3 linked regions of the Rhinolophus ferrumequinum genome follow. The protein of the gene in region 1 interacts with the protein of each later gene in a pairwise test. Links are inferred from orthologs where the notes say so. Each region holds a gene or a part of one and is shown in the gene's direction. Other genes may lie near its edges.

The links.
Region 2: the proteins of EXOSC10 (region 1) and MPHOSPH6 interact in binary tests that used the Homo sapiens proteins (3 or more experiments, as listed by UniProt). The link is inferred for Rhinolophus ferrumequinum from reciprocal best matches to the Homo sapiens genes EXOSC10 and MPHOSPH6.
Region 3: the proteins of EXOSC10 (region 1) and EXOSC8 interact in binary tests that used the Homo sapiens proteins (3 or more experiments, as listed by UniProt). The link is inferred for Rhinolophus ferrumequinum from reciprocal best matches to the Homo sapiens genes EXOSC10 and EXOSC8.

What each region holds. Positions count from the first base shown.
Region 1 is NC_046292.1:7,453,419-7,457,169, reverse strand, and holds the start of EXOSC10 (exosome component 10), read left to right. Parts: upstream 1-1,415; 5' UTR 1,416-1,462; coding exon 1,463-1,573; intron 1,574-3,180; coding exon 3,181-3,317; intron 3,318-3,751. UniProt on the Homo sapiens protein: Catalytic component of the RNA exosome complex which has 3'->5' exoribonuclease activity and participates in a multitude of cellular RNA processing and degradation events.
Region 2 is NC_046298.1:28,029,341-28,033,091, reverse strand, and holds the start of MPHOSPH6 (M-phase phosphoprotein 6), read left to right. Parts: upstream 1-1,420; 5' UTR 1,421-1,505; coding exon 1,506-1,556; intron 1,557-3,751. UniProt on the Homo sapiens protein: RNA-binding protein that associates with the RNA exosome complex. Involved in the 3'-processing of the 7S pre-RNA to the mature 5.8S rRNA and play a role in recruiting the RNA exosome complex to pre-rRNA; this function may include C1D.
Region 3 is NC_046287.1:92,681,555-92,685,305, reverse strand, and holds the start of EXOSC8 (exosome complex component RRP43), read left to right. Parts: upstream 1-1,146; 5' UTR 1,147-1,164; coding exon 1,165-1,181; intron 1,182-2,263; coding exon 2,264-2,300; intron 2,301-2,527; coding exon 2,528-2,591; intron 2,592-3,148; coding exon 3,149-3,222; intron 3,223-3,751. Other genes in the region: ALG5 (dolichyl-phosphate beta-glucosyltransferase), read right to left, coding at 1-73. UniProt on the Homo sapiens protein: Non-catalytic component of the RNA exosome complex which has 3'->5' exoribonuclease activity and participates in a multitude of cellular RNA processing and degradation events.

The sequences.
Region 1 (3,751 bases):
CACGTACAGGGTGTGAGCCACAGGTGGGGCTCTGAAACGACTACGCCACTGGGCAAGGCAGGAAAGCCTCATGGGAAGGGGGACATTTGCCGTGTGTCTCAAAGGATGCGCGGGAGCTTGTCATTTCAAGCAAGTGAGGACATTCTCGGCAGAAAAGAGGTGTCAAAGCGCAATATGGTGTAGAAGTGGTGAGTATTAACTTGAGCCGTATTAGATTGCTGGTATTCAGCCATGTTTTATATATAAAATGGTGGTTTCATAGTCACACCTCACAGGTCAGCAGGTCTACCTCAGTGGTCAGTGGGGAATAAAAAGAATAGGAACGAAAAGGAGGCCAGAAAGTAGAGTGGGGCCAGACTGGCCTGCCTCACAGTTCAACGGCAAGGAGTTTGAACCTGATACTGTGGACAGCAGGGAACCATGTGAGGTTCTAAAACAGGTAGAAGCTGCATCTTTCCTCCTCTGACAGTGGGTAATAGTACTAGGAGGAGGAGATGATGCATGTAAAGCACTCAGCACAGCCGGACAGGTGGCATTAGGTCAAACCGTATGAAACAGGTGCTCAGAAATATGAGTTGTTAAATGAACTAGGCTAGGCTTTTGTTCTGCCAGGGTGCCGGTGCACCCGAGGTACACAAGTGGGGGAAAACAGTAAAAAACAAGTATCCTGTTAATAGGATGTTCTGAATAACAATAAAAGCTAATATTTACTGAACACTACTAGGCCAAATGAATTGCATCAAGGGTGTGCCACCCCTGATCTTAGAATATATACCCACTGAGCTTCCCCAGTCCCTCCCCTGACCTGCCTAATGGTGCCTCCCTCGTAGAACACGAACGCTTCGAGGCATTCAGTTAGCAAATGTTTTGAGTTCCCACTACGTGGCTAAACAAGAGGGGTTCCGGGGGTGTAAAGGAGAGGAACACGTGACTGGAGGTGGAGGGCACAGGAGGTACGCAAGGTGGGAGCACACAGATGCCTTTTCCAGGAGTTTGCCTACCAGGGGCAAGAGAAAGGCGACGGTGGCTAGAAGGAGTGGGGTGGAGTAGTGCTTTTTCGTTTCGTCTGTTTAGTTGGGAGATGCCAGCATACGTGTAGGCTGTTAGGAACGGACCAGTAGCCAGGGAAAAGATAGATGATGCAGAGAACGGGGATAATTGCAAGAGCCAAGTTCAAGCGGGTAGGAGTGGCACGGAACCACAGCTTGGGAGGAGCTGGCTTTAAATATGAGGATAATTGGGTTCTCCGGGTCTCACCCTAAATCACAGGACTGTTGGGATGATATAATACGAGGTTAAAGAAAAATGTAAAGTTCCCTGGGTGGAGCGCTCAGGACCGTACTGCTCACGCACACGCCCCTTAAGATCCTGCCCGACGAAGACGACCTTTGCACATGCGTGGTGCGCGCACGTCGCGTCGGCCCGAGGCACTCTCGCGAGAAGAGCCGTGAATGCCGGAAAAATGGCGGTTCCCAGTCCCGGGGACTTGAAGGCCCCGCCGGCTACGAGCGCGGCTAAGTCCGACGAGGAGATGGTGCTGCCGGGATTTCCGGACGCGGACAGCTTCGTGAAGGTGAGTTCGCGGGGCCTCGGGGACGCCGTGAGCCTCCAGCGGCGGGCCGGAAGCAGGCCCGGGCCCTCTGGGCGGCCGCACGCGGAGCCCCGGGCGGGGATCGAGGGGCCGCTGCCCGCTCCAAGCAGTCTCTCACTTCACCCTCCGGGGATGGGGCCTCGCACGCGGACACTAAAGGTAGCCCCGCTTTCCAGTGCGTTCATTCTCCTAATTGAGCCCATGCAGCCCTGAGTGTGGAGCGCCCCCTCCACAGTGGGAAGGGCTTTCTTGTCACGCCGATGCCCCAGCCTTCGCGAGCTCGCCCCCGCCCGGGCCTGAGCCACCCAACCAACTCTCCCGAGGGGCTCGGCTGCTTTATGTTGCCTTCCTACATCCTCGCCTCCCGCGGCCAAGATAGTTTTTAGTGCCTCTTCTCACTCCTGAGGTCCAGTCCTACATAATCCCAAAACCTGGGTTTAAAGTCACCTGTGCAAGCTGTCACTGAGTCTCCCTCCTCTAGGTACCATAGAATATGTATCAATGCCTCCTCGAAAGAACACAGAGAGGGTTCGTTTAGTTATTTGTATAATGCTGCTTAAATATGAACAAACATAAAACTATTTTAAACGCCTTATGCATAGCTCTTATAAAATCATGAAACTAAAATAATTTTTAAATTAGCACTACAAATTCTCAAAAACTACACTCACATACCTACTTTATTGTTAGCAGATGCTATTATTAACTTATTTATTTGGCTTTGGTAGTTCCTGGACCACTAGCCATGGTCCTGATTGGGTGTGTTCATGCTTATAAGCTACCAGGTCTACCCCACCATAACTCAGATTCCTTTCTCTCTTCTTTTTCTTGGAAAACTTTTATTACGCAACTCACAGTGAAGGCATTTGGCCTTCACATGACCAACTATCTTTTTTATCTAGGACAACCACTTCAGGTTTTTTTCTCATTACCCCACAACAATTAAAACAGAGGACTACTTGGCACTAACTGAACCATAAACGTAAGTCCAGTTGTGGGCAGTAGCCATTATCAATTGGTCATCCAAAGGATCTAGAATATTCTTATATTGTTTTTAGATGCTCATCCAAATGAAAACACAAAACTTAATTCCTGTAGGAAACTCATGGATCTGAATTTGAGTAGTAATAGTAATAATAGCACTTCTGTGCCAGCAGCTATCCTAAGTGATTTTATTAGCTCATTTAATCCTTTCAACAACTCTATGGTGTTGGCACTTAAATAATGCCGATTTTTCAGAGGAGGAAACTGAGGTCCAAATAAATGAAATAATTTGCCCGAGATCACAGTTAATAGGTAGCCGAGCCACGATTCAAACCCAGGCCAGTTAGAATATTACTCATACGTGTATTTGTTCTTCCTCTCCCCACTCTCCCAAGAATGTAAGCTCTAGAACTTAGTTTTGTGTTCACCATTGTACCCTGAGGACCTGGGGTAAAATCAGCACTAAGTGAATATTTGTGGGATTGGATATCTTCATCATCGAGCACAATGTGTTACTATATATAATAGGTGTTGAAAAAAAAATGAGTTGCTGAGTGAATGGGGATCCATGTTTAAAACGTGCTTGGTTTTCTGGTTTTTGACAGTTTGCTCTTGGATCGGTGGTAGCAGTCACCAAAGCATCTGGGGGCCTACCACAGTTTGGCGATGAGTATGATTTTTACCGAAGTTTTCCTGGCTTTCAGGCATTTTGTGAAACACAGGGAGACAGGTTGCTTCAGTGGTAAGTGCTATATACTGTTTTCTTCTGTTGAAAGAAATGAATATAAAAAAGGAGGTAATTTTTCCTGAAATGTGTTTTTTCTGAACATAATTTTCAGAGCTATGGAAATGTAAAAATAAGACAGTGGATTTTGATTAGGGAAACTTGGTAAATTTTGAGTTTAACTTTTAAAATATCTTGACTTTTGCACCTACAGACAATGAATCTTTTTGAATTAATGTAGGACTTGAAAACCTAGATCCAAGATTCTCTCACAACTTGCGGAGCCACAAGTATTAGCCTTCTAATAAATGTATTAGGACAGACAGTACACAAACACTGATTTTTGTTTAGCTGTTCCATGACAGAATTAGGGAATGTTTTCGATTTCGTGTTAACACAGTGAATGCAGAGTACATTATTTATATAGTATTATATATCCTTTTAGAATTTAA
Region 2 (3,751 bases), on another chromosome or scaffold:
TGGTCAACTCTATGACGACTCGCATCCGCATTTAAGGACCTTTGCAGTTGCTAGTCCCTCTTTTTAGAACATGCTTCATACAGCAGGTTTTTCTTAACTTTCAGGCCTTAGCACGATGGTCTTGTAAGAACCATCTCAGACCATCTTATCTAAAGTAACCCCCAAAGTCACTGTCACCTCCTCATTTTCTTTCTTCCATGGCACTCACCAGAATGTCAGCCCCAGGCAAAGGAGGTCATGTGTTTTTCTGAACTACTGTAGCACAGAGTTTAGCCCAGTGTCTCACACAGTGTGGTGAATGAATGAGTTTTGATAACCACTTACCAAACTGTAATTTTATTTAATCCAGTGAGAAAACCTTCCGAGGCAGGGCTACCTTTTCATGAAGCTTTCCGAATCTCCCCTCGTAACACTTACTTGCTGTGAGAACTCTGGCAAGTCCCTTAACCTCTCTGGGCCTCCGATTCCCTAAATATATGATGACAGTAACACCTTTTCAGGGTTCTTCCGAGGATTAAATAATACCCGTATGGTACCCAGCACAAGAATTTGGCATGTAGCGCATGTTATCAGCTGAGATGCCATTAGGCTGGGTGTTTCCCAAAGTGTGGCACCTGTGAAAGGTGTGCAAAATGTTTAGCGGTACAGAGCACTGAAGCTATCATCTTTTCAACGATTTAATTGGAAATAAGGTTGTGTTCTCGCCCTCATGTATCTTTGATTATCTCTTGCTATTCTTCCTATTTAACAGAAAGATCATTTCGGTTCAAAGACGCACACAACAGTTAACAGGTGAATTTAACATGGTTTTCCATTGTATTGCTGAAGCCAGAGCGCCAGGGCTTACACCCACCTCCCTCAGTCTGACTTCGAACTAGCGAAGGACCCTCCCTCTACCTCAGTTTCCTCAACTGCAACACGGGGATAAGAACAGTACCACCCTACAGGGTTATCGTGAACATAAAATGAACTATTACACGTCATGTGATGCAGAACATAGCCCGCCATCCGTGTTAGAAACACGTGAAAGAAAAGGATGGGGAGGCAACCGACTCAAAGGTCTCACGAGGACAACTGAGTCAACGACGCGCGACAGGACTGAGTCCGTAAGCGGGGTGGGACTCGCCACTGCCAGGCCCTGGGTCGCTCTGCCCCGTGCGGAGCCTGAGGGGCCGGGTTGAAGCCCTCAGGGGAAGGCAGCCGACAGCTCGCAGCGACCAGAGCTCCGCCCTCCTCCGGCTTCAGCCTCTCTGGGGTCTCCCTCCCGGCGTTAAGATTCTCTGCCCCCGTGGCGGGCGGTCGCGCCCTTACCCTGAGCTTCTAGGAGATGCATGCGCTCCCTGAGGCGACACGCGAAGAGCCCCTGACGCCTTCGCCCACGAGAAGCAGGGGCGGGGCCACAAGGCACGGAGACGCGCTCTACGTAAAATGACGCCGCTGCGTACGCAGCAGCGCGCGTGCGCAGTGGGGCTCCTGGAGGAGCGCGGGGCCTAGCGGAAGCCAGCATGGCAGCGGAGCGCAAGACCAAGTTGTCCAAGAACCTGCTGCGCATGAAGGTACAGGGACACTGGGGAGCCATGCCGGGAGGGTAAGGCCACCTGATTCTCCCGGCCTGGCCGAGGCCGAGGCACTGGGCGTGCGGGGGCGCCAGAGAAGCGCCGGAGGGCATCCACCTCTCGCGCTCATTCATTCCCTTAGCGTCTGCTCTGCGTTAGGCACTGGGAACCGGATTAGAAATCCGGCGTATTCTCTCTTAAAGCCGGCGGGTGGGAGACGCAGACACGTAAGCGAGCAGTTAGGATACAGCGTACTACGTGCGGTGACGCTGGAAGCGCCCGCACCTCGGGGAACTTAACGTGGGCTTCTGCGGGAAGTGGTCCTAGAGACTGAAGGGTAGGTGGGAGGGTGGGGAACCTAACAACATAAACTGCGGGAAGAGCGAGTTCAGAAGTTTGAGAGGCAAAAACCAAAAACCCATGGTGATTTTTAAGAACTAAAGATAATTCATTATGTCCTGAAGGCAAGTAGCAAGAAATGGGCCTGGAAATGTAGGCGGGTCATTAACATGCAGGAAATTTTAGGCCAGATTAAGGAGTTGTTTTCTTTACCTTGTGAGTGTTGGGAAGCTATGGAGCACAGGTAGCAGTTATCAGCTGTGCCTCTTACTTTTCAAGGTTACATTAACTGTCCTGTGAAGAATACGTTGGTGAAAGAAAGACTCGACAGGACAAAATTGCAGTCAAAAAGACCATCTAGAAGTTTAGATGATTTGAGTGAGGGGCACAGTGGCATTGCAATGGAATTATAACAGTTCAGGTGAAAGTGAGTTATGTCACCCAACGTTAAGCAAAATTGATTTTTATATTTCAGATTGGATCAATTTAACCAAATGTCAAAATGGCGGAAAAAGACAAGGATAGATAAAATAAATACAGGAATTAAAATAGGAAAAACAACCAATCCTTAAAACTTAAATAATAATAGCAAACATTTACAGTTCTTGCTGTGTGCCAGACACAGTTCTAAATGTTTTGCATGTATCAACTCAAGAAATCCATATACGGTGTTTCCCCGAAAATAAGACCTAACCAGACAATCAGCTCTGATGCACCTTTTGGAGCAAAAATTAATATAAGACCCGGTCTTATTTTACTATAATGTAAGACCGGGTCATATAATATAATATAATTAATATAATATAATATATACTGGGTCTAATATAGTATAAGAGCGGGTCTAATATGATATAAAATATAATATAATACCGTGTCTAATATAATAGAATTCCGGGTCTTACATTAATTTTTGCTCCAAAAGACGCATTAGAGCTGATTGTCCAGCTAGGTCTTATTTTCAGGGAAACACGGTGATAACTCTTGAGGTGAGTGCAGTTATTATCCTTCTCTAATAGTCATAGCAACTGAAACAGGGAAGTAATTTGCCCAAAGTTACTGCTTATAAGAAGTGTAAACAAGACTCAGACTCAGGCAGTTGGTACCAGAGCCCCTTGCTCTTAACTACTTCTGGTCGCTGAATACTTATAGATGTAAACTGTTAAATGTCGTGTTTAGAGAATTGTGGAATTTCCAAGAAGAGGAAGCAAGGCATAAATAATGTTTTGAAAGATTGGACAGTAAATATTGGATGGGCAAAATCTGAGTGGAGTTGAGCTAAGGTGTAACTAGGAATGGATAGGGTGAGGGTAGCGGGTAAATCATAGCATAATTTAGTTTCCAAAGTACTTCTTTCATGCATATTAGCAAACTTTGAATCTTTACTGAACAGTTTTCTTGTGGCTTATGGTATGTAATCATGTAGATTTCAAAGAAGTGAAGTGGATTGACAAAGCAGACCCTGAAAAGATTTTAGCAGTTGTTTTAGCTCTTGGATAAGTCAAATGAGGCCGTACTGGGTGATTAGGGCTCAGATCAAAGAGCCCTGACTTTGGAAGTAGGAATGAAGAAATTGACTAAAATTATTCACCTCTAACGCGAGTGGTTCAGAGAGACTCGACTACACATTGGAAGCAAAGGAGAGGGAAAAAAATACCCAGGTTCTCTATTTGGGTTAACAACTTCGGGCATTGATAAGAAAGAACTTATTGAAAGGCTAGCACGAGACACTATATATACAGACAGAGTGGAATGTTTTATGAGAAGGAATGAAGCAGCTGCCTGATGTTGCAGTATACAGTATAGCGCTTCAGCCAGAGCTAAGTATAGAGCAAGAAGGAGAGGGTGGAGGATTTAAT
Region 3 (3,751 bases), on another chromosome or scaffold:
CGAGCTGCAGCGGGAGCGAAGCCATCCTCCGTGCGCCGGCTGCACCGCCGCCCTCCCCAGCACCTACACACATGCGGAAGCCGTCCCGCAGCCCCGCCTCCTGCAGGCGGAGAGGCTGCGCCCGCCGCCCACAGCGCCCTCGCGCGGCGAGAACACATTGGGTCTTGTCTGCCAGCCAGGCGCTCTGCTCCAGAGTTGCCAGAATTAGCACTACGTGAAAACAGAACGTCCACTTAATTTGAATTTCAGATAAGCAACTAAGTTTTTTTTGTAACAGCCTTATTGAAATATAAATCACATACCATTCAACCCACACATTTAAAAGTTTTTGGTATGTTACCTAACTTTTTAAAACTGAAATTTTTTTTTGCTATTTTTCCTATTTAAAATGCACAATCCAGTGCCATTAATTACATTCACAATTTTCTGCAACCATCATCACTATTTCTAAAACTTTCCCTGCTCCAGCCCCTGGTAACAACGACTAACATACACTATTTGGGGCTTACTCATAGTAAAAAATTACTCTTTGCTTATCTGACATTCAAATTTAATTGGATGTCCTTTATTTTATCTGGCAACCCCACCACGCAACCTACAATAAAAGCAGCTCCTGTGGAGCCCGCCCAAGGTCCTGAAAAGTGTAACCTGGTGCGGAGAATGAGCGCGAAGAAAATATATGTAATCTCCAGTGCTGAAGCAGGGAGCTCTTTACCTGGGAGAAGGAAAACCCAGGCATAACCTAAGAGGGGGCAGGAAAAGGACGCAGAAACACTGGATTAAGAACATTGGGATAATGCTTCACGCTCAATACTGGATTATTTGCTATAAGGTCGATTTTCTCTTAAACTCTTGAACTGTTTGTAAACAGAGAAGCTATCACTTCTATAACAGCAGACTCGTCAAAACGCGTAGAATGCAAAGAAACCTACAGGTGCGTCTGGCTAGTGACTGTTGAAGCGAAGGGTCGGGTCGCACCCTAGCGATGCCCTGGCCTTCTGCGTCTCCTGCAGCCGTAGAAGAGCGCTGGAGTCCGTGCGGAAAGCGGTGGCCCAGACGGCGCGCGGCACGTAGACAACAGTGTCCTTCCCCCAACCTCCGCGCAGGCGCAGGCGCAGGCGCAGGCGCAGTGTCCTACCCCCGCGCAGGCGCGCGGGCGGGAAGATGGCGGCTGGTTTCAAGTGAGTGTTGGCGGCGGCTGTGCGCGAGTTTGTATCCTGACGGATGGCGGCTTCCTTTAACCCTTAGCTGGGATTTTCTCACCTGGAGGCCACCCCACCATCTTCCCACTTTCTCTCGCGGAAGCAGGCGACGGGCGGGAGGACCTGGAGGTGGTTGTAGTGAAAGGAAAGGGGGCCTCTCCCCGGCACTAAGACGGGAAGATGGAAAAGAAGACTATACGTTGAGTTCAGTACCCGCTGCGGAGCGCGTGTGCCTTGTGTAGTGGACATTTAGCCCCAGGAGACAGCTGTATTTTAAAAAGTGTTGCATCAGAACCACGTGCCATTCTATTCTCCCTCCATAATTTATTTCTAAAAGGATTGTGCCTTGCACGGACGCTTTTAGCTAAGCTTTTTTGTGTGGCACTCTGGTGAAGCCTATAGATTTTCGTTCTCGGAGCCAAATTTTTAAAGGGATAAGTAGGATTCCGAAGAAAACCAAGTATATTGAAACACTTATCTATTTCTATAAATTCCCGAGTTCACGATACGGTGATGTACACATACTTGTTTTAAAATTAAACAAGATCTAGTGGGGAGTCTAGTAACTAGTGGAATTTCAAAGTAACTGAACCTACCTTCAATAACTATTAAGTAAAAACGAAAACATTTAATGTCTGTGGTTGTTAAGAGTCACAGGTATTGCTAATATTACCCAGTCAGAATTTAAGAATATGCTAAATTTCAGTTATAGGATGGTGAAAAATAAAGATGTAACTTTTTTTTTTGTGCCGAGAATCCCTGCTTCCGGGGGAGAGTGCCATTAACACCTGGATTAATCCTTTTAAAGAAGTCCAAGGGCTTTGGACTCCAGTCCTGAAATTGTTTAAGGCAGAGTTAAGGACAGTTGAGTGATTGCTACAGCAAGGGTATCTACTTCTTATAATTAGTTATGTGGCAACATAAGTGTCAGAATTTATGAAGGAAACAGTCACACATTGTGGAGATTTATACTGCATGACTACGTTTTTAAGATCTTTTACAGTTTCTGGATTTATATTAAGATTCATTAACTTACCTCGGATATATTGCTAACATTTCAGAACTGTGGAACCTCTGGAGTATTTCAGGAGATTTTTGGTGAGTAAAGGTGATTATGTACATGTTATAACTTTTGATAATAACATTTTTAAAGACATTTTTGACATACAAATATTGAATTGTTACATTGTACACCTGAAACTGTTATATGTCAATTATACCTAAAAAAAATTTCAAGTAATTTCAATTAACAAGGTTTAATGTGTTTTCCCTGGTTGTATGTAAAATATACATGTAGATGTAATCTTTCATATATATTTATTTAGAAAGAGAACTGCCGTCCTGATGGAAGAGAACTTGGTGAATTCAGAACCACAACTGTCAACATAGGTGAGTATATTTTGAATTCTAAAATAGAATGTTGAAGTTGCTTCAGTTTTGAAACTGGAATGTTTCTTGTTTTTTTAATACTAGTATTTTTATTTGTAGTTTGTTTTTTTTTAAGTCCTCTCAATTGATATGTTCTCCATTTTAAAGTAACTACAGAGCGTTCCCCCCTCCCCGCCCCTTCCTTCCAGATCTCTAAGACATGGTTTTATGTCTTAAACTTATTAAACTTTCTGTTACAAACATGGAGTTTTCCAGTTTTACCTGTGTGGCATTCCCAAGTTTTAGCCTCTAAGCCACTTAAACAGTATTTCAGCCAAATTCTACCATGTTTAAGAGATTCCAGTGATTTTTGTGTCAAGAGATTTTTACCTGTACAACAGTCCTGTGACTGAATGAAAAGGATTAACTCAAATTCAAAGACAGGTATATAATTCTTAAAACAGTAATCATACCACTTTAAAGAGTTGAGCTAGGAATAAATTTTCATAAACTAAGATATGTAACAAGATAAATGAAAACACTGTGGACTTTTTCATTTTGCTTGCTTATCTTTTCAGGTTCAATTAGTACTGCAGATGGTTCTGCTTTAGTGAAGCTGGGAAATACTACAGTGATTTGCGGAATTAAAGCGGTAGGTTTAATATGTCTTAATGAGATTTGAGTTGCCAAATTAGCTTCGTATACTTATTAGATTGTAATATACACTTTTAATTCTGTCGATTAGGCAAGTCAGATGTCAGTTTTTTAGTATTTGTTTTCATTTCCCAAGAGCTTTCATCTCTTATTGAATACGACCCGTTTAATGATTCAGTTGTAATTTAAGAACATCAAATGTACTGAAATCAAATAATGTATCAAATCCTCACCACCTTTAATTTTTTAAGAATTTGGTTGTGGGGGGGTATCACTTTGTGAGGGCTGTAAATACCTATTACATTGTTTTGTACATCTGAAACTAGTTTTTTTAAAAAATTTGATTATCATTTGAGAAATTAGTTTTTTGGTGACATCCTTTTATCCAGTGATGGCATTTAATCTGTGCAAATGTGTAAAAAATTGAGATCACTCAAAAGAAAAGCTTGACAGAATAGCTACCAGGTACTACCTGCTACGTTCCAGGCACCTTATTAGTACTGCAGATGGTTCTGCTTTAGTGAAGC